Linked DNA regions of Anolis sagrei. The protein of the gene in region 1 interacts with the protein of each later gene in a biochemical or structural test. Links are inferred from orthologs where the notes say so. Each region holds a gene or a part of one and is shown in the gene's direction. Other genes may lie near its edges.

The links.
Region 2: the proteins of MMP14 (region 1) and LUM interact in a biophysical measurement, tested with the Homo sapiens proteins (2 studies listed by BioGRID and IntAct, with this or other methods). The link is inferred for Anolis sagrei from reciprocal best matches to the Homo sapiens genes MMP14 and LUM.
Region 3: the proteins of MMP14 (region 1) and TIMP2 form a complex in vitro, tested with the Homo sapiens proteins (2 studies listed by BioGRID). The link is inferred for Anolis sagrei from reciprocal best matches to the Homo sapiens genes MMP14 and TIMP2.

Annotation. Positions count from the first base shown.
Region 1 is NC_090026.1:9,641,069-9,648,236, forward strand, and holds the start of MMP14 (matrix metalloproteinase-14), read left to right. Parts: upstream 1-4,154; 5' UTR 4,155-4,417; coding exon 4,418-4,528; intron 4,529-7,168.
Region 2 is NC_090025.1:153,688,369-153,696,298, reverse strand, and holds the start of LUM (lumican), read left to right. Parts: upstream 1-4,918; 5' UTR 4,919-5,238; intron 5,239-7,930.
Region 3 is NC_090022.1:128,960,128-128,967,657, reverse strand, and holds the start of TIMP2 (metalloproteinase inhibitor 2), read left to right. Parts: upstream 1-4,518; 5' UTR 4,519-5,038; coding exon 5,039-5,168; intron 5,169-7,530. UniProt on the Homo sapiens protein: Complexes with metalloproteinases (such as collagenases) and irreversibly inactivates them by binding to their catalytic zinc cofactor. Known to act on MMP-1, MMP-2, MMP-3, MMP-7, MMP-8, MMP-9, MMP-10, MMP-13, MMP-14, MMP-15, MMP-16 and MMP-19.

The DNA of each region.
Region 1 (7,168 bases):
GGAGATGGTGGTTGGACAATGTGGCCGGGCCAGCAGAGTTGATGGCGGAGTATCATCGCTTCAATGCTGGTGGTCTTTGCTTCTTCCAGCATGCTGACATTTGTCTGCTTGTCTTCTCAAGAGATTTGCAGGATTTTTTGGAGGCAGCGCTGATGGAATCATTCCAGGAGTTGCATGTGATATCTGTAGAGTGTCTACGTCTTGCAGGCATATAGCATGGTTGGGAGGACAATAGCTTTATAAACAAGCACCTTGGTATCTCTACGGATGTCCCGGTCCTCAAACACTCTGCTTCATTCAGAAAAATGCTGCTCTCGCAGAGCTCAGGCGGTGTTGTATTTCATTGTCAATGTTGACTTTTCTGCAGAGGTAGCTGCCAAGGTAGTGGAAATGGTCAACATTTTCTAATGTGACACCATTAAGCTGTATTTCTGGCATTGAAGAGGGAATGGGTGATGACTGCTGGAAGAGCACTCTGTTTTTCTCGATGTTCAATGACAGGCCGAGCTTCTCGTATGCTTCTGCAAAGGTGTTTAGAGGAGCTTGTAGGTTTTCCTCTGAATGTGCACAGATGACGTTGTCATCAGCATATTGGAGTTCTATAACAGATGTTGTTGTAACCTTGGTTTTGGCTTTCAGTCTGCTGAGGTTAAACAGCTTGCCATCTGTCCAATAGATGATTTTCACTACAGTGGGAAGCTTCCCATCAACAATATGAAGTATCATAGCAATGAAGATGAAAAATAAGGTTGGGGCAATAACACATCCCTGTTAGAACCTGATTCCACCTTAAATGGGTCACTTTGGGAGCCATTGCTGTCCAAGACTGTTGCCATCTTGTCATCATGTAGAATTAGTACAGTTTGATACCACTTTACCTGCCATGGGTCAATGGAATCATGGAAGTTGTAGTTTAGTGAGGCACCAACACTCTTTGGTCAAAAAACTTATTGACTTTGGAAAATTACAGCTTTCAGAATACCATAACATTGAGGCATTGTTGTTAAAGCGGCGTCAAACTGCATTAATTCTACAGTGTAGCTGCATCCCTAATGCTCTTCACCTGCTCAGGCCTTGGCAAGCATCCAACCTTGGCCAGCTAATGGCAAAAACCTTGCCAAAAATCAAAGCAATGAGGTCCCTTTGGAAGCGAAACCAGGACTGTTTAGGCTGAAATCCAATTTAAACAGCCTTATCAGGAAGGAAGTCTCTAATGAGTTTAGTGGGGCTTTAGGTTTTAGGCTTAGTGTACTGTGCGGATATTAGACGATTTCAATTGACTGTATGTCATTAGGTTTCTGGACCTAAATACCCTAAAGGCACCAGATCCTGTCTGATCTTGGAAGCGAAGCAGGGTCAGCTCGACTTTGTATTTGGATGGGAGATCTGCCAATGAACGCCAGGTGCTGGAGGCCATATTTCAAAGGAAGGAACTGGCAAGAAGTATTCCTAGCCCAAGAAAACCTTACAAAACTCATAGGGTTGCCATAAGTCTACAGGTGGCTCAAAGGCATATATATATATATATATATATATATATATATATATATATCTAGCTAATCAACTATGTATACATTTAGTGACATAGTTTCTCAGAGATGTTAAGATTCTGGCAAACCTAGAAGGCAAAGATGCTGTACAAAAGTGAAGCAACCGAATTTCTGTCTGAGACTTGTAGTTTCGGCACCATCTCTCTTTGATGGTCAGTGCCAAAGACCATATAAACTACAATTCCCATTATCCTACAGCATCCAGCCTCCTTTACCAAAGAGTGTGCTGGTGCCTCCCCAAGTTACAACTTGTAGGATTCCATAGCCTGGGGCTATAGCAGTTAAAGTGCTGTCAAACTGCATTAATTCGACAGTGTGGATGTGCCCTTGGAGCTTTTCTGATGTCAAATACCATCTGTGTATCATCTCTGAAAAATGTTGCATGTGGGGTCAAGGCATACTCCCCTCCCTCCCTTCCTTTATGCTTGCTTGCTTTTCCGCCTCTCTCCTCCCTTCCTTATTTCCTTCCTTCCTGGCTTTATTCTTTCTCTCCTTCTCTCTTCCTCCTCCCCTTCTTTCTCTTCCTATCTTCCTTCCTCCCTCTCCTTCATTCTGTTTCCAACCTTCCTTTTGTTTCTCCTTCTTTCTTAATTTCTTTTCTCCTTCCTCTTTCCTTCCTTCTGTCTTTCCTCCTTTGTCTTTCTTTCTTCTTCCTTCCTTGTTTCCTCCTTCCTCCCTTCTTTATTTTTCCATATTTTCTTCCTTCTTCCTTTCCTCCTTCCTCCCTTCTTTGTCTTTCCGTCTATCTTCTCCCCTTCCTATTTTTTTCTATTTTAGTTCCCTCCTCCCTTCTGTCTTTCCTCCTTCCTCTGTCCTTCCTTCTTTCTTTCCTCCCTTCCTTCTTTTACTTTCTATCTTCTTCCTTCCCTCCTTTCTATTTTCTTCCTTCCTTCCTTGTCTTTCCTTCTATCTTCTTTCCTTCCCTTATCCTTCTATTTTCTTTCCATCCTCCCTTCCTTGTCTTTCCTTCTATCTTCCATTCCCCTTCTTTCTCTTTTATTTATTTCCTTTTCTCCTTCCTCCGTTGTCTTTCCTTCCATCTTCCTTCTTTCCTGTCCTTCTATTTTGTTTCCATCCATCCTTCCTTCTTTCTTTTCACCTTCCTCCCTTCTTTGTCTTTCCTTTGATCTTCTTCCTTCCTTCCTTCTTTCCTCCCTCCCTTGTCTTTCTTCTATCTTCTTCCTTCCCCTTCTTTCTATTTTCTTTATTTCTTTCCTCCTTCCTCCCTTGTCTTTCCTTCTGTCTTCTTTCCTGTCCTTCTATTTTGTTTCCACCCTTCTTTCTTTTCTCCTTCCTCCTTTCTTTGTCTTTCCTTCTATCTTCTTCCTCCCTCCCTTCTTTCTTTCCTCTCCCTTCTTTGTCTTTCTTTCTTTTTCCTTCCCCCTTTTTCTATTTTCTTTCTTTCTATCTATCTTCCTTCCTTCCTTCCTTCCCCTTTCTTTCTATTATTTCTTTCCTTCCTTGTCTTTCCTTCTATCTTCTTTCCTGTCCTATTTTCTCTCTCTCCCTCTTTCCTTCTGTCTTGCTTTCCTCCTCCTTCCCTTCCTTGTCTTTTCTTCCCTTTCTTCTTTCTTCCCCCCTCTTTCCTTCGTCCCATCTTGTCTCCTTCCTTTTCTCTCCTTCTTTCCTGTCCTTCTATTTTCTTTCCATCCTTCTTTCTTTTCTCCTTCCTCCCTTCTTTGTCTTTCTTTCTATCTTCTTCTTCCTCCCTCCTTCTTTTTCTTTCTTTTTTCCTTCCCCCCTCTTTCTATTTTCTTTCTTTCGTTCTATCTTCCTTCCCCTTTCTTTCTATAATTTCTTTCCTTCCTTGTCTTTCCTTCTATCATCCTTCCTGTCCTATTTTCTCTCTCTCCCTTTTTCCTTCTGTCTTGTTTTCTTCTTCCCTTCCTTGTCTTTTCTTCGTTTTCTTCTTTCTTCCGCCCTCTTTCCTTCGTCCCATCTTGTCTTCTTTCTTTCTATCATTCTATTTTTCTTTCTTCCTTCCCCTTTCTTTCCATTTTATGTCTTTCCTTCTATCTTCCTTCCTGTCCTTCTATTTTCTCTCTCCCCCTCTTTCCTTCTGTCTTGCTTTCCTCCTTCTTCCCTTCCTTGTCTTTTCTTCCCTTTCTTCTTTCTTCCGCCCTCCCTCTTTCCTTCGTCCCATCTTGTCTCCTTCCTTTTCTCTCCTTCTTTCCTGTCCTTCTATTTTGTTTCCATCCTACTTTCATTTCTCCTTCCTCCCTTCTTTGGCTTTCTTTCTTTCTATCTTCTTCTTCCTCCCTCCCTCCTTCTTTTTCTTTCTTTTTTCCTCCCTCCCCTCTTTCTATTTTCTTTCTATCGTTCTATTTTAATTCCTTCCTTCCCCTTTCTTTCTATTTTATGTCTTTCCTTCTATCTTCCTTCCTGTCCTTCTCTTTTCTTTCCCTCCCTCTTTCCTTCTGTCCTGCTTTCCTCTTTCTTTCCTTCCTTGTCTTTTCTTCCCTTTCTTCTTTCTTCCCCCGTCTTTCCTTCGTCCCATCTTGTCTCCTTCCTTTCCTCCTCTCCCTCTCTCTCCTCCTTTCTGCCTCTCCCCCTTCCTTGCCCCCTCCTCTATCCCCTCCTCCTCCTCCTTCCGTTTTCCAGGAGGAGCTTGGCCCTTCCTCCCCTCCTTCTTGGGCTTTGGGCTCCTTCCTCTCCCCGCAGAACCTTCTCTCTAATTGGAGCCAGACCCCGCGCCCCACCACGTCTCCACTTCGCGAGGGAGAAGGAGAAGCGCCCGAGAGCCAGGAAGGGCCAGGCTGGGCCAGGGAAGGCAGACGACCCACCGCAGGCGCCCCCTCCTCGCGTGGCTCTCGCCCCCAAAGAAAGAAAGAGAGAGAGAAAGAAAGAAAGAGAGAGACCCCCGAAGCATGCCTCTTTGGCCGGCCCTCCTGCGCCTCTTGCCCCTGGCCCTGGCCCTGGGCGCCCTCTTGCCCCAAGGCTTCTCCTCCTCCTCCTCTTCCTCCCGCTTCAGCCCCGAGGTGAGTCCGGGCTCTGTGCCCCCAACCAGCCATTCCCACGCGAGATTTCCTTCCCCCCTCTTTGCCTCTTTCTCCTCTTGCTCCCAGGACCTGTTGCTCCCTTGCATCCCTTGCATCCCTCATCTGGTGGGACTTCTTCCAGGGGATCCTTCCCTTCTTCACTCCCAGCAAAGAAATGTGAGACTTTGGCACCCCTTCTCCTCTCACTCCTCCACTCCAAAACTTTTCCATTCCCTTCTTTCTTCTCCTCTCTAGCTCTCTCTGTGTTTTCCTCCCTTTTCTTCCAATCTCCCTCCCTTTCCTTCATTTCCATTGCCTTGTCCTCTGCCAGCAGGGCTTTCTCCTTCCCTTTTTCCATGCCTCTCTCTTTCTCTCTCCCTCAAATTGAGTTCCTTTCTTTGCTTTGCTTGTCTCCACTTGCCTGGTGCAGAGCTGGCTCCTTTCTATGCTTTGCTGCCTTCTTCCCTGCATTTAATCCAGTTGCTGCAAACTTGGCAACTTTTCCTTCTCTAATGGATCAAACCATTTTTTTGAATCTGTGTTGCTGTGAGTTTTCCAAACTGTATGGCCATCTTCCAGAAGCATTCTCTCCTGACATTTCGCCCACCTCTGTGGCAAAGTTGTTGAGGTCTGTTGGAAACTAGATTTTTTTTCATGTCTGGAGCAACTTGAGATAACAACAAGTCGCTTCTGGTGTGAGAGAATTGGCCGTCTGCAAGGACGTTGCCCAGGAGACATTGCCCGGATATTTTACTGTCCTATGAGAGGCTTCTCTCATGTCCCTGCATGAGAAGCTGGAGCTAACAGATGGGAGTTCAACTCGCTCCTCAGATTTGAAACTCTGGAGCAACTTGAGAAACTACAATTCGTTTCTGCTGTCAGAGAATTGGCTGTCTGCAAGGACGTTACCCAGGGGACATAGCCCAGATATTTTACCATCCTAAGGGAGGCTTCTGTCATGTCCCCACATGAGAAGCTGGAGCTTACAGGTGGGAGCTCACCTCGCTCCTCAGATTCAAAACTCTGGGGCAACTTGAGAAACTACAATTCGTTTCTGCTGTCAGAGAATTGGCTGTCTGCAAGGACGTTACCCAGGGGACATAGCCCAGATATTTTACCATCCTAAGGGAGGCTTCTGTCATGTCCCCACATGAGAAGCTGGAGCTTACAGGTGGGAGCTCACCTCGCTCCTCAGATTCAAAACTCTGGAGCAACTTGAGAAACTACAATTCGTTTCTGCTGTCAGAGAATTGGCTGTCTGCAAGGACGTTACCCAGGGGACATAGCGCAGATATTTTACCATCCCAAGGGAGGCTTCTCTCATGTCCCCACATGAGAAGCTGGAGCTGACAGGCAGGAGCTCACCCCACTCTCCAGATTCGAACCGCCAACTTTTCAGTCAGCAGTCCTGCCGGCACAAGAGTTTAACCCATTGCAGCACCCGGGACTCCTCGGCAAGTGAAAAGACATGAGACAATCAGGGCCAGTTAGTACCTCCCAGGGGACATTGCCTGGATATTTTACTATCCTGTAGGAGGCTTCTCTCATGTCCCCACATGAGAAGCTGGAGTTGACATGTGGGAGCTCACCCCGCTCCTCAGATTCGAACCGCTAACCATTTGGTCAACAGTCCTGCCGGCACAAAGGTTTAATCAGTTGCACTACCGGGGACTCCTCTGTGAGTGAAAAGACATGAGACAATCAGGACCAGCTAATGCCTCTCAACAAAGGATTTCTCCAGGCAGGAATCAGCCAGGCTTTGAAGCTGTAAGGCTTTTCAATGCAAATCAAGGTGATTAATTGAAACATTCACACATACCTCCAGCAGACAAAAGAGTATTTTACTCCCACTCAGGACCTTCTACAGATATATAAACCTTACTTGCCTAGTTTCCAGCAGACCTCAGCAACCTCTGAGGATGCCTGCCATAGATGTGGGTGAAACATCAGGAGAGAATGCTTCTGGAACATGGCTATACAGCCTGGAAAACTTTCAGCAACCCAGTGATTCCAGTCATGAAAGACTTTGACAACACTATTGTTGATCCATCAGGTGCCATCTTATCCTAACCTTTTGCTTTTTATTTCTCTTTAGTCCAGACATGGGCAAACTTCAGCCCTCCAGGTGAAGTTTGGACTCCAATTCCCACAATTCCTAACAGCCAGGAGACTTCAGCTCCTGGCTGTTAGGAATTGTGGTAATTCGCGTCCAAAACACCTGGAGGGCCAAAGTTTGCTCATGCCTGCTTTAGTCTCGTCACTTTCCATATCTCATATTTTCCTCCAAATTGAACCCTCTCATCCTTACTTCCTATATTCTATCTTCTCAAGATCTTGATGGTATATCTGTCTGTAGATGTAGTCTTTCTTCCCTCCTTCTTTCCTAACTTAATCCATTTTCATATTGGTGTGAAGGCTTTCATGGTTGGAATCACTGCATTGCTGTGAATTTTCCGGGCTGTATGGCCATGTTCCAGAAGCATTCTCTCCTGATGTTTCGCCCACATCTATGGCAAGCATCCTCAGAGTTTGTGAGGTTTGTTGGGATCTAGGCAAATGAGGTTTATACATCCGTGGAATAATGTCCAGGGTGGGAGAAAGAACTCTTGCCTGCTTGAGGCAAGTGTGAATGTTGCAATT
Region 2 (7,930 bases), on another chromosome or scaffold:
AACAAAAAAAGTTAAACTTGTACCAGGACTACTGCTTCACAAATACCCTTAGCTGCCACTTCCTTTTTAGGAATTAGAAACAAATCCAGGATTACCACAAATTGCTTGATGTGTCTGAATACTTTCCATTTGAAGTACGAGCACAGCATGGATGTAACACACACACACACACACACACACAAAGGAAAAGCTGGAGATTTGTTATTAGAAATGAACTATTGGAGGCAGATAGAGCTTCATGGAACCGATACATGAATTAGAGTGACCTTCTGGCTGTAAAAGTGAAAAAGAGTTCATAAAAGAAGTTTTTTAGAAATAGATTCAGGATTTGGCTTCACTTAATACAATAATTTATGTATTATTATTTATATACTTGCTTGGGGAACCAGCGCTGCCCGGGTTATTTGATAAAGGAATTGTGTATCAAGGTTGGTCTTTATAAGTTATGTATATGGCTCGCAGTGGTCTCAGGAAGTTAGTGAAGGTACTATGAGTCCCATCATCTGCGGTCCATCCTCCTCCAAACTGCACCAGGATGGAGAGTGGGTCATGGGGGCTTTGTGTGCCAAGTTTGGTCTTGATCGGTCATTAGATGAGGGTTGAAGTAGTCTTGGGAAGTGAGTGGAGGTAGTTGAAGTCCCATCATCCATAGTCTGTTCTCCCCCAAACCTCACCAGAATGTTGAGTTGGCCATGGGGGCTCTCTGTGCCAAGTTTGGTCTTTATTGGTTTTTGTATGAGTGTCGCTGTGGTTTCAGGAAGTGAGTGAAGATACTGCAAGTCCCAACATCCATCATCCGTCCTCCTCCAAACAGCACCGGGATGTAGAGTGGGTCATGGGGACTCTGTGTGCCAAGTTTGGTCTTGATCGGTCATTAGATGAGGGTTGCAGCAGTCTTGGGAAGGGAGTGGAGGTACTCGAAGTCCCATTATCCATGGTCTGTCTCCTCGAAAGTGCACTAGAATGTAGAGTGGGTCATGGGAATTCTGGTACCGCCCTGAGTCGCCTTCAGGCTGAAATGGGCGGGATAGAAATAATGTAAATAAATAAAAATAAATAAAGTTTGGTCTTGATCAGTCATTGGCAAGGGTTTCAGTGGTCTCAGGAAGTGTGTGAAGTTACTGCAAGTCCCATCATCCATCTCCAAATTCTTCCTAACCGTACCAGGATGTAGAGTGGGTCATGCGGGCTCTCTGTGTGAATTGTGATCCTGATCCAGCATTGTTGGCAGTTGTAATGGTCTCAGGAATGGAGTGCAGGTATTGCAAGTCCCATCGTCCATGGTGCATCCTCCTCCAAACTGCAGCAGGATGTAGAGTGCGTCATGGAGACTCAGTGTGCCAAGTTTGGTCTTTATCGGTAATTGGATGAGGTTTGCAGTGGTCTCAGGAATGGAGCGAAGGTACTGCAAGTCCCATCATCCATGGTCCATCCTCGGCCAAACCACACCAGGGCGTAAAGTGGGTCATGAGAGGTCTATGTGCCAAGTTTGCTCTTGATTAGTCATTGGATGAAGATCACAGCGGTCTCAGAAAGTGAGTGATGGTACTGCAAGTCCCATCATCCATGGTCCATCCTCCTCCAAACTGCAGTGGGATGTAGAGTGAGTGAAGGTACTGCAAATCCCTCGGGCCCTTTCCTTTCTCTTCTCATCCACTTGAGAATGTTAAAATGTTTTGTTTTGTTTTGTTTTGTTGTGTCAGGAGCAACTTGAGAAACTGCAAGTTGTTTCTGGTGTGAGAGAATTGGCTGTCTGCAAGGACCTTGGCCAGGAGACGCCAGGATGTTTTGATCTTTTACCATCCTTGTGGGAGGCTTCTCTCATGTCCCCACATGAGGTGCTGGCGCTCTCCCCGAATTTGAACCTGCGACCTGTCGGTCTTCAGTCCTGCCAGCACAGGGGTTTAACCCTCTGCGCCACCAGGGGCTCCTGTTGATGCTGGCCAATCAGAAACCATATGCAAATTTCCTTTCCCCTCTCAGCCACTTGAGAATGCTGGAATGTTTTGGCTGGCCAATCAGAGACCATATGCAAATTGTACCACAGTGGAAGCCAGTCAGAAAGCTGCCACATACACCTATGTCCGCCGCATACATACATACAAACACTGACTTTTATTAGATAGATAGATAGATAGATAGATAGATAGATAGATAGACAGACAGACAGACAGACAGACAGACAGACAGACAGATAGATGTAGTATTAACGGCTATCATAGACCCCATCTATACTGTCATATAAAGCCATATAAGGCCAGCATAGATTGCATTGAACTGCCTTATGTAACTACACTGCCCATATAGTGCAGTTTCAAACTGCATTATATATCAATATAGATGGGGTCCCAGATATTCTAGGAAGAATAGTTTGAATGGTTACAATTGTGCAAAAGCAGTCAGTGCAACTCTGAGCAAAAGAATGGCTCCTTAGTTCCAGTAAGGTTCTTCCCAGGTTGTAATATTGTGAAAGAGCAAGCAGCACTAGGTGGGTGCATTTCAGGGCCTTACTTTCATTTTTTCTTATGTAAGCAGAGTCCGAATGAGGAAGTAATCGACTCTGATGTTTTTCACTTGTTGGCCCCATCTACACTGCCATATAATGCAGTATAGATAGGGCCAAATCCTTATTTGAAATTGCATTTTAGGATCAGTGTAAACTTACATAATAATACTGTTGGAATCACAGACACCTTAAAGGGCCAGACTCAAAAGTGGCTTCAAAACAGAGTTTATTAAAACAAAAGGACATTGGCATAATTATATTTCAACAGAAGGTGGTTACAACACAAGTGCCATTAAAGCAAGCACAATTGAGTGATCATTCGTGTGGGGGCTCAACAACATAGGAGTGATGGTGGTCCAATTTTGCCAGATCCAATTCAAAGAGGGCTTTCCTCTCCCACTTCCAATTTCTCATATCAAGGACATTTTCTGGGTTGGGGTCTTTCTAGATTACCCTAACCACTCTGACTCCTCTTTTCACTTCCTCCCTGTTACTTAGTGTTGTAGTAGAGCCTGTGAGTAACGTTGCAAACAGTAGTATGGGTGCCAGAGGGGGGGAAAGGGTTCCTCGGGAGCAGGAATCTGATGATGAGCAGCAGAGGAGGAGGATCCGGGACATATTTGCAGCACCTACAGATAAGGAGTCATTTCAGATTCTTTGGGGATGATGGGTCCAGAGGGGGGGGGAGGGGTTCCTCGGGAGCAGGAATCTGATGATGAGCAGCAGAGAAGGAGGATCCGGGACATATTTACAGCACCTACAGATGAGTAGTTGTTTGAGGGATTCTCTGGGGATAATGAGTCAATGAGTGAAGGAGAAGAAGGAGACACCATGGCTTGGACTAAGATAAGAGAAGTGCAAGCTATTTGTGAGGATCCAACAACTAGTGATACCTTTATGGGGTTCCCTGGGGGTGAAGACTGGCAATCAGGGGACCCAACGGAGTCTTGGGGGGATCTAAGTCTTGACAGGAGATGGAGGACTTGGAGGGAAAGACAAGGGACTTCACGTGAAGAGCTGGGAGCAGCTGCGGAGGATAATGATAGGGCAATGGTCAGTTCGTCTTCTGATGCTGATTTGTAAATAAAAGTGGGTTCAGGGGTGATGGGTCCTTGAAGAAGGCAAGATGTTGGTGAGCGTTCATGTGTTGGGTGCTGTGTAATGGAAAAGATTCTTGTAGACTTGTTGCTGCCTGTTTCGTGTTCAGCGTTGGATCTGCAGTTTGGATCTCCTGATCGTTTGTGTGTTATTGACCTGGATTGTCTTCTCGTGGATGTGGACTTCTCCCTTCCTGGACCGGTTTGGCTAAAGACGCTGCTTCTGCGGACACTGGAGCAGTGCTGTTTCAGATTCCTCCCGCTTTGACCCCCGCTGACTACGCTTCTCTTCCTGTGGCCCCTCCTTTTGTTAACCATTTGTGTACTGTGCCTTTTGGTTTTGCCTCAGTGCGCTTAGTCTGATTCGTTCCTTTTGCATCCAATTCATCTGGATTATATTTCTGTTAACCTTTTGGACCTGGTCTGGTTTGTTTCCTGAGTTTTGACCAGTGGCACTGCATTTAAGTATCTCTGCGTCCTTTTTCTTTGGTTTTAATAAATTCTGTTTTGAAGCCACTTTTGAGTCTGGCCCTTTAAGGTGTCTATGATTCTAACACTTAACAAGTGTGAAGATAGGTTTTTAAAAGAACTTTGGATCCCATGACACAGGGATCATTTTGTAGACATAGTATAACTAGAATGAATGCTTACAAGTTTGCCAATAATGTTTTTCTTATTATTTTTATTACATGATTTCTGGCAGTAGTGTGTTTCAACAGCATTCTTTTCCATGCTTTAGGATGCATTCTTGAAGAGCATCCATGAAATGAGAAACAGACAACATTTGGTTGATTGGTTCCAGATTTGAAAGTCCTTTAAGCAACCAGTGCTAGTGTACTTTCAAGAAAGTTACCAGCTGCTTATTTCTTTCTTGGGAATGTGTGGGATTTTTTCTATTCATCGTCTTTGTGGTACAAACATTTATGTTAAATTATAAAAGAAAAGGTACCATTATTGGCATGTTTTAACATAAACTTCATATTTGTTCTCTCCTTGTCTGTGTGGGATATTATTTTTACAATATAATATGGTGAAAAGAAAAAAATGTATGTGGTTCACCATCTGAGGTTACTTTCCATTGCAGAGGCTTTTATTAAGTTATTATGTACATAACTTAACACAAAGAAAAACATGAGATGGCCAGTGAGTCAGTTGGCTTGAGAGTTGTGGCTACACTGAGGTTCAAGAATTATTTGTTCACTTTCCTGAAAGCTATTAAGTGGTTTGGAGGGGGGGGGGGGATGCAAGATCTGTTTGCAATTTGTGCATTATTTAAAACTATTTCCTTTCTTTAACTTTCTGTTGTTTGTACTATGGTAGACAGTCTGAATTTATTCTGGTTTCTTGGAGGGGTTATCTTTCTCCCGTTTCACAGGGAGAAACAGCTGGGTTGTCCTTGACCATTCCCTTGGTCCACCTGCATTTCATTAGACAGCAGCAGTTTTACATACCACACCACTATGATGACATAGCAGCTTCAGAAAACAGCGTGACTAGGATCACCCCCCCAGCCCTTGTATCACAGAGGATCTGGCAGTCAGTTACCTTCTGACACTGTTTATAGCATATATTGGTCGACCCAGTCGTTCACTGGATCTGCTGTGGGAATTAAGGCAACCGCTTCACGTCAGAAAGGTAAGTGTTCTTGCATGCTTTAATGCTAACAATCAAGCAGCAGAGGAAAGAGGTAATGGGAACATGTCAAAACTCTGCCAATTTGCAAACTGGACACAGTTCTTTTGTGCATTTGCCTTTGCAGTTTGTTTTTAAACACTCCACATGTTTTGCTGAACTTCTTTGCTGAACATGTTGGCTTCTAGAATGGGTCATTCATTATAAATAGCCAAGTCTTGAGTAAGAAAGCAAGATCCTCCAAAAGTAATTTTCTACTCCTCAAAAGCCCTAAATGCAATATTTGCAATTAACACATCTGTTCAGTGATGAAACTGGATTTGAAAAATAATATTTTTGCATGTGTTTGATTCTGTTGTTTTGTGGAATGGATTTCTTCACTATGCAACTTTTGAAACTAAAAGTATAGAAAGATGATTCTTTAAGAGAAATGGGTGCAGTTGCCAGAACTTCATTGCTTGCATTGAACTTTTGAGCAGATGCCTGTAAAAATGTTGTCAAATATTTGTATCCGAATAGTACCATATGTACTATGTAAGTTCACTCATGAGCCATTCAATAGTTATTTTATATCTTTTGTTTTAAAATTCCTATTGTTGTTAGCAGGTACTTTTAGTCCTTTTATACTTTTTGCTGTTTCCTTTTCAGGTAATTTTAGGATCTCATTAACTCTTTCAATGCTTGAAAAACGAACTATTTAACATTATCAAAGATAAATATTGTAAATATTTCAGTGCTTTTTCAAGTTTTCTTCAAAGAAAATGCAATAATGCTTTCTAGAATTTAGAGTGATTATTCAGAAATACAATCTGTCATGAGCTATGCCAAACTTCACAGAAATATTTAGAAGGTCAGGGTGTGACATTCTCAAAGAGGCCTTATTTCTGATTTTCAGTGGTTTTAAAGGAAAATGTGTTTAGTTGATGTACCACTGAATGAACAATTCTGATTTAACTTTGTCCAATTTAATAAATGAGGGCTAGAGTTTATGCAGTTTATGAAGAGTGTTCTCATGTAAAGACATTTATGTTAAACTTCAATTTGACAGTGGGAGTTTAATTGCACAAAAATAATCTTATCCATATGTCTTCCACTTTCCCACATCTATCCTGTAAAAAGACTTACAAGGCACCAAATGGCCTGTAGTTTTGAAGTTGTCAAAAGAAAAACAGAAATGTTTTAGAAACATAACACTAGAGGAAAAAAAACTGGTGTCTGCCTCCTGCAGAATCCTGGGGTTTGTCGTTTAAAGACTCCTCCCTAAACTACAAATCCCAGAATTCTGCAGGAAGTAGAAACTTTATTTTAAGTGGATTTTTCTCTAGTGTGATGAGACCCTAAGATCCAGCATAGATTTAAAATTTAACATTTTAAAAGAAAATTCTGCTGTAATTTTCCCCATCCTCACCCCAGTATACGTGGACATATATTTACATTAAATCCCATTGCTGTAGTCAACTTACAATGCAGTCACATGTTGTGTTGCCAGATGGTGAGATCATAGTGTTTCATTATCAGGGGAAGGGAGGATCCCTCTAGTAATTATTACAAGCAATGGTGGGATTTTTAGCATTTATTTGTTGACTTTTTATGTATTAAACTCTAAACTCAGAGGTTATTATAAGTGCTATGCTGTTTTTCACTTATGATGTAGCTAGGCAAGTAATATAGCAAGGATTAAATAAATGACCCCGGCATCATGCTATGCAACATCATTATTATTTAATCCAATGCAGATGTAGTAGCTTTATTTCAAGGATTAGGTTACATGGATACAATTTCCATGATAATCTCTCCTGTTCCTGCCAGAATCCATTCTAAAACTTACCCCTGTCAACAGAGAACAGTAAAGCATACTTACATGAACCAAATGTGCAACTATTTAAAAAACTAATGGTCAAACAGGATAATATTGCATTTAATTAGAATACATGGTCTCTCAAGTGGTGGAAAACACATATTTTTCATACTGCATGCTTTCCCTCATTTTCATTTTTTTCATTTAACATGCTGTTTTGTGATTGCTTACTGTAGAGTTAATTTGCAAATCTGATTGCGGAGACAAGTATTTTTTAAGAAAACCCATTAGTGGATGAAAAATATAAGTTAATTACATGGAATACACATCCCTTTAAGATCTAGTTTGACCTTAAGATAACAATTGCTAATTCAACCTTGGTTCAGTGAAAATACAGCTGCCAATAAAACTACAACAGCAGTACATCATTTGCAACAAATAATTTAATCAAATGATGAGTTGTTTTGAAATTGAATACATTCAGACTACTTCTAGTGATATGAAGCAAGGGTAGGGAAAACATAGAACTAGGAACATGTGTCGCCACAAGGGTGCTTTTATGACCTTTGACTCATGGCTTCCCCAGATTATCCACAAAAATAAAGGGCAAAATAAAGAAAGGTATGGCCTCTATTAAAAACTACTAGCAGTAGCAATCTTCCTCTAAATAAGTTCCAGTTCCCTTATTGTAAAATATATTGTTTGTTATAATGTAGTTTGATGAAATGATCAATCCTTAATGTTACAATAACATATCTGTGACATACAAACCTACAAGAAAACCCAACAGGATGAATATAAAATATATTATTTACTTATACATACTCATGTGTAAGAAGACCGCATAAATATGTGGCGGGAATGTTTGGGGGCCAAAATTATGGATTTTGATGTAAC
Region 3 (7,530 bases), on another chromosome or scaffold:
AGATATGAGGCATATTGGGAATGCAAACAGAAAATGATAATCAAGAGCCTAGTACAAATCGTTTCAATCAAGATGAGGCCTACAGTGGTTTTTGGGAATAACCGATAACAATCAGGATATATATATGTGGCAATTCTTTTGAAACACTTTAAAAAACAGGAAACATAACAGAACTCTTGGAGCCCATCAGCAACTCCTACAAATCTCGGCATTCTATAACATTGGGTCACGGCAGTTAAAGTGGTGTCAAACTGCTATAATTCTGCAGTGTGGCAAGATCTCTAGAAACAGAAGAAGAATTTAGTACCCAAAATGCATTTTGCCCCTTCAGATAGTTTGCAGAGAACACCTCCTTAATGTGCTATTTGACTCTGGGTGGAAAGTGCAGCACTGGCTGAGATGAAGCACAGGGCATATGAAAAATGCAGAGAGCTGGACTATAAGGAAGGCTGAGCAAAGGAAGATAGACACTTTTGAACTGTGGTGTTGGAGGAAAATTCTGAGAGTGCCTTGGACTGCGAGGAGATCAAACCAATCCATACTCTAGTAAATATAGCCCAGTTGCTCACTGGAGGGAAGGGTATTAGAGGCAAAATGAAGTACTTTGGCCACATAATGAGAAGACAGGAAAGCTAGGAGAGGATAATGAGAATGGGAAAAATGGAAGTAAAAGGGAAGAGAGGCCGACCAAGGGCAAGGATGTTATCCTTAAAGTGATTGGCTCGACCTTGAAGGAGCTGGGGGTGGTGATGTCTGACAGGGAGCTCTAGCGAAGGTCTCTAGGATTATGAAAGAAGACACTGAAATGCAACATGTGAGCCAATTGTCTCTTGATGATACAGAGACAAGTTGTGCACTTCTCAGCATCTTTCCATCAACTATACTGGGGTCTGCAGGTTACGATACCTCTATACCCAGGCTAGAGGCATTTTTATTTTACTACAACATCCCAAATCCCTCCCAGCTAGCAAGACCATTGGGGGGGGGGGGGGCATTCTGGAATTGTAATTTCAAAAATAACTTGACCCAGCTCTGATCAGGGCTAGGAGAAAAGTCAAATCCTATTGGAGCAAAATTTTGGGCCATCTCCTAACTTGTGGTCAACAGCCAAAAAGTGTTTTTATTGCTATGACTTTCCATCTGGCACAACAAGGGTGGGAACTCATAAAACTTTTAACAGTTGAACTGCAGCACTCAAAATAATTTCCACAACTTATTTTGCTGGTGTTTAATCCCAGAAACTGTTTTAAGTACTACAACTCAGACCTTAAAACTTGCCAAGTAATAATAACAAGAGAGAGACTTTGCACACATGTAGACGTCTCTTTTTCTACCAGAACATAACCCACAGGCAGTCAGTAACTGTTTTGTGATCAACTATAATTCCATAGGAGTGAAGACCTTCAGGCTTTACAGAATTGGGTTGTTGTCAGTTTTCCAGGCTGTATGACCATGTTCCAGAAGCATTCTCTCCTGACATTTCACCCAAAACTATGGCAGGCATCCTCAGAGGTTGTGAGGTCTGTTGGAAACTAGGCAAGTGAGGTTTATACGTCTGTGGAATGTCCGGGGTGAGAGAAAGAACTGTGCTTGAGGCAAGTGTGAATGTTGCAGTTGGCCACCTTGATTAGCATTTAATGGCCTTTCAGCTTCAAAGCCTGGCTGATTGCTGCATGGGGGAATCCTTTGGTTGGAGGTGTTAGCTGGCCCTGATTGATTCTTGTCTGGAATTCATCTGTTTTTTGACATTCCATAGATATATAAACCCCCCTTGTCTAGTTTCCAACAGACCCCTCCATCTCCAAGGATGTCTGCCATAGATGTGGGTGAAATGTCAGGAGGGAATGCTTCTGGAACATGGCCATACATCCCGGAAAATGCACAGCAACCCAGTGATGAAAGCCTTTGACAACACAGCTTTGGCTTTACAATTTGGTGGAGGGTATTATCCAAAATTAACTAGATGTTTTAGTTATGTCTTAAATATTTCAAAACAGTCTTGAGATGAAGAATGCAGGCTTGATGAGTCATTGATAGGTTTGTACAGGTGTCAGTTCATACCTGGCAATGTCTCCCAGGAGGGAGATGAAATGAGGGGTCCGCAGCTCTACAAATAAATCATTTTGTTCAGCGCTCATAGTTACCAAGCAAATTCAAACAGTGGTCTGGAAAGATATGTCTTTAGCCTCAGTGATTATGTCCCTTTCTAGAATATAGTCCAGACACTCAGAGCCTACCATTAACCATTTCCCACATCCCCAGAAAAGACAAGGTATGGCAGATATTGGCATGACTTGCAAGGCATGTCTACAACTTTCCCTCTGTTTTCTCCAGGATGATCACATCAAAATGATTTCTGGGGTTTTTGTGAGGCTGTTAAAAGCTCCTCCCAAAACTACAAACCCCAGAATTCTGCAGGAGGCAGAAACTGGATTTTAAGTCGATTTTTCTCTCTAGCATGATGAGGCCCATATGTTTGCTCATGGGGGCAGGGGCAGGGGTTCTCTAAATGAGAAGTAGGACAAAGTGATAGTCTAGGTTCTAGCTATGTGACTTCAGGTTGCTTGTTGATAGCTGGTGACTTCATGAAGTTCATGGGTTTTTCTTAGGCCAGGGGGACAAAGGGGGTGGGGGTGGGGTGGGGTTCATCCATTACTTCTTCTGAAATATAGCCTCGAGTACCTGATATCTACCCAAGCACTAACTAGAGCTGACCCTGGATTTGGTATATTCAGAGTATTTATGCTTGCTGATTGATATTACAAAGAGATTTAAAGCAGTGAGCATGGACCTCTTAAACTAGTGTGGTACCATGGTTTTAGTGTGGGACTATGGTAGTGCTCCGTGAACTTAGGATTCAAATCTCTGCTTAGCCCTGAATAGTGCATACCCACTATTTGGGAGAGCCTTATTCTCTCAGCCTAACAGATGTGAGGGTAAACCTCCTCTGAAGAAATCATGCCAAGGAAACCGTAGAGTAGGGTTACTATAATTCAGGGTCACCTTGAAGGCATTCAATAACAATATGGGGAATGGCTGGCTACAGACTGGGTGCATCACAAGGCTTATTTGATCTCTGATCAGAAATTGGAGCTATGGGGCTATTTAGAGCAGAATAAGGAACTGTGTTTTGGTATGCAGCCTGGGAAGACATTTCATTGCAACCTGAGTAGAGAAGTGCACTGTCCTTGGGGAAAGGTCCAAATTAGTGAAGAATTAGATTTGGCCCCTCCCAACTGGATTTAGCCTGTCCACCATTACATTTCAAAGAAAGGCACCCTGTGAAATTCATGGAGTTGGCGTAAGTTGACAAGTGACTTGAAGGCTCATGCAGACACAGTGAAGGGGGGGGGGGGGTCCCCACCATCCTGGTACTGAAAAGAGCTTTGAATTGGTTACATTTATTAGGGTGCTTGTACACTTGGGTTTTTGGGGGGGGGGGTGGTTTGAATGCTCTGCTATGGGTGCATTAACACTGCTGAATGAATGCAGTTATTTATTTTCTGTATTTATACGCTGCCCTTCTCACCCCGAAGGGGACTCAGAGCAGCCTTAACTTAATGCCAGTTATTAAAATCACACAATCTGAATCATATTTGAGAAGCTGTTCTGGCCATTATTGTCCATTTTCCAACTTCATTTATTGCACTGCATTACAAATCCAAGGCTTGGTCCCATAGCCATGTTTTTCAACAGGTGAAGTCGTGGTTATGGAGAAAGGCTTTCGAAGAATGAGACAATGATCTGGATGGAAGACGGTGTATATTCGATTTTAGTATGACGGCTGACCACTGTAGTTTTAAATATATGTGCTTTTTAAAATGTTTTATTGTAATGTTTATTTTGATATTTTACCGATTGTATATGTTTTTATGGTTGGAAATCGGGCTGAGTCCCTCTTATGAGGTGAGAAGCTCGGTATATAAAACTTTGAAATAAATAAATAAATGAATACATTTCTTCCTAAAGGTCAGGAGGGAGGGAGCTGATCTGATTTTGCTAGAGTGTTCCATAGCCAAGGGGCCACCACTGAGAAGGCCCTGTATTTCATTCCCTGCAACCACACTTGTGAAGGAAGTGGGATCAAGAGCAGGGCCTCCTAACTTTGAAGATGCTTCATAGAAGGGGATACGTTTGGGAGTTTGAACTGCCATGGCTCGACGCTATGTGATCCCGGGAGTTGAAGTTTTACAAGGTCTTTAGCAGCCATCTCTGCCGGAGAGTGCAGGTGCTGAGGCTTGGGGAGGCAGAGGAGGCTGCCGACCTGGCAAAACCCCAACCAACTCCCAGGGCTCTAGAGCATAGTTCAAGTGGTGTCCATCCGACTGGAGGCATCCGACGGTGTGGCAGAGCCCAAGGTGTCGCCTTCCCTCTTCCTTCCTTCCGCCTGGCCGATGATAAGAAGAGTCATAGCTGGCCATCGCTGTCAAGCAGGGCGGCAGAGCAGCCAGCAGAACCGGGCCAGAGGCAAAGCGAGGGAGAGGGAGAGGAGTCAAGAGAGAGAGAGAGAGGGAGGGAGGGAAAGCGAGGGAGAGGCCGCGCTGCCGGGATCCTCAGGCGAGCCGCCCGCTCTGGCCCCGTGCCACGGAGAGGAGGGGCAGCGGATCCCCAGAGCCCATTAAAAAGCCAGGCTTAGCCGAAGAAAACACCTCCATAGAAGGAAGGCAGGCAGGCAGGCAAGCAAGCAGGCAAGCAGCAGGAGCAGAACCAGAGGCTGGGAAGGAGCCGGAGCTTCTGCTCCCACATTCTGCGTGGCTCCTCGTCTGTCTCCCGCCGGCAGGACTCCCTTCCTTGGCGCCTTCCACTCCAAGCAGAGGCCAAACTTTGGGGAGCACGAGTGGGAGCGAGTGTGTGCCTGGATGAGGCAGCAGAAGCCCTGAGCAGCGCCCTTTCCCTCTCCCTCTCTCTCCAGCCCCGCCGTTTGCTCTCTCTCTCTCTCTCTCAAGCTCGCCGTCCCTCCCTCCGTTTTTCCTCCCTGCCTGCCTTCCTCTTCCTTCCTTCCTTCCCTCCCTCTTCTGCCTGCCTTCCTTCCGCCAAGATGAGTGCTGGGCTGCGGAGCCTCCTGGCCTGGCTGGCCCTGCTGCTCCTGGGGAGGATGGACCGCCTGGCCGACGCCTGCAGCTGCTCCCCGGTCCACCCGCAACAGGCGTTTTGCAATGCAGATGTAGGTAAGGAAAGGACGGATCCCCTCCCTCCGCGCCCTGGCTCTCTCTCTCTCTCTCTCTCTCGCTCCCCCCCCCCCCACCATTTGGGAGATCAGCCCCCACCAACCCCACCCCTTCCCCCGCGGGAACAGGGGGAGCGTGGGCCCTGGAGTTTCTTGGCCCAGCCAGGCTTCTTGAGGCTGGCATTGCCTCGGCCACTTCCACCACTCCCACGCCCTCGCCTTGAAAAACACGCGTGTGCCGCTCTTTCCTCCCTGGCATTCCTCTTTCCTTCCTCCTTCCTTGCTCCCGCCCTGACCTGATCCGCAGGAATTCGTTTGAAAGCCCCCAATGCAACCACCAACTCGAACCCCTCCCTTTCTGGCCAAGGCTCCCTCCTTGCGAGATGTAGGCTTGCCAGGGGCTGCTGGGGGGAAGCAGACGTCGGTCTTGAGGAACCGCGAGGAAAGGAAACTTCCCCAGGAAAAACAGGAAAGGGCACAGCCATCTTCGCTGACGGAGAACTAAAGGTGGAATGGGATGTTGTAGGTTTTTGGGCTGTATAGCCATGTTCTAGAAGCATTCTCTCCTGACGTTTCGCCTGCATCTATGGCAGGCATCCTCGGAGGTTGAGGTTGAGTGACCTCACAACCTCTGAGGATTTTCTTTGTGTGTGTGTGTGTCAGGAGTGACTTGAGAAACTGCAAGTTGCTTCTGGTGTGAGAGAATTAGCCACCTGCAAGGACGTTGCCCAAGGGATGCCCAGATGTTTTGATGTTTTAGCATCCTTGTGGGAGGCTTCTCTCATGTCCCCACATGGCAGCCAGAGCTGACAGAGGGAGCTCATCCGCACTCTCCCCAGATTCGAACCTGTGACCTGTCCTCTGAGGATGCCTGCCATAGATGCAGGTGAAATGTCAGGAGAGAATGCTTCTAGAACATGGCCATACAGCTTGAAAAACCTACAATAACCCAGTGATTCCAGCCATTAAATGCTTCAACAATACATTAAGGGTGGAATGCTTCTCTTTTCTCAATGGCAGCTTGGCTCCACAGGGGTGGGTTTCTTTTATTTGGGTGGTGGGGGGGGGGGAGTCAGTCAAATCACCACCCCTGTATATCAGTTGGCAACAGGTCTAGAACACCAGGTTGCTCAAGAATTCTACTTTGATTTAGCATGTGCTAACTGTTTTTCTGTTGGGTTGTGAGTTTTACAGGCTGTATGACTGTGTTTCTGAAGCATTCTCTCCTGACGTTTCACCTGCATCTATGCCAAGCATCCTCAGGGGTTGTGAGGTCTGTTGGAAACTAGGCAAGTGGGGTTAATGTATCTGTGGAACGTCCAGGTTTTTCTGCTTCCAAGAGATAAGGCAGATCTGCTGCTGTTAATATGTTGGAGGCAGCTGTGAAGTCATGCAGGGATGCATTGACTGGCGCAAACTTCAAAATGCAAGTCTTCCAGTGTTGGGCCGGACCCTCACCTAGGACCCAAGGAAGTGGAGGAAGCCAAGGGGACAGATGGAAGGAGGCATGGAAGCACACAAGGCTGCAGAGCTTGCCGAATGGCACCAGCAGGGAGAGGGCAGAACAGAAGGAAGCTTGGACCGCCACAAAGCGGAAACCAGATTTCCATCTGCTTACTGTATATAAATACCTTCCCAGTCCCTTAAGCTCCTGGCTCAAGAGAAAGAAGCTACCCGCCTCCATAGGAGAAATTGTTTTCCCCCCATAATGGTTGTCATCTTCTACTTTTGGAAATTTGTCCTTGCTTCTTGGTGCCTTAGGTCTGTTGCATATCCCATCCTCGCCTTCCAGTGCATTCACAAATATAGAGGACCAGGTTGCATTAAAATCATTTAGTTATGCCCACAGTGTTCTTTGGTTTGGCTCTCTAGGAAACAACCATACAGTCCAAGTAACAATATTTGCAGAAAGTCAGGAATGTATTCCTTGAGAACCCCTGACTTACTTTTGCATCTAAGTAATTTCTTTTAGTGAAATAGCAGAGAGGGAATTCTAATGGATTTGGCTTTGAAATCCTTTCTTGATGATGGGAACAGAGGAATAAAAAAACCTACTTTCTTCAAAAGGCTAACCATACTAATTTTAGTGTGGATTCTAGTCTGGAATCTCATCACGTGGCCCAGTCAGTGAAGAAATAATTTTAGCAAACCTCACCAAAACCACAGGGACGGTTTTCAGTGCCAGGATGTTATTCTGGAATATGCAAAACAATACTCCTGAAGGAAAAGGTTCCTCTGAATGTGTGTCTTGCCCTACGCTCCTGAGTTATCTCAAAAGGCTTCCACATTAGAAGGTGTGGCCTGTAGATACGCTCAAACCTCCAGGTACTTTCCTTTTTAGACAGTAACCCATTAATTGGCTG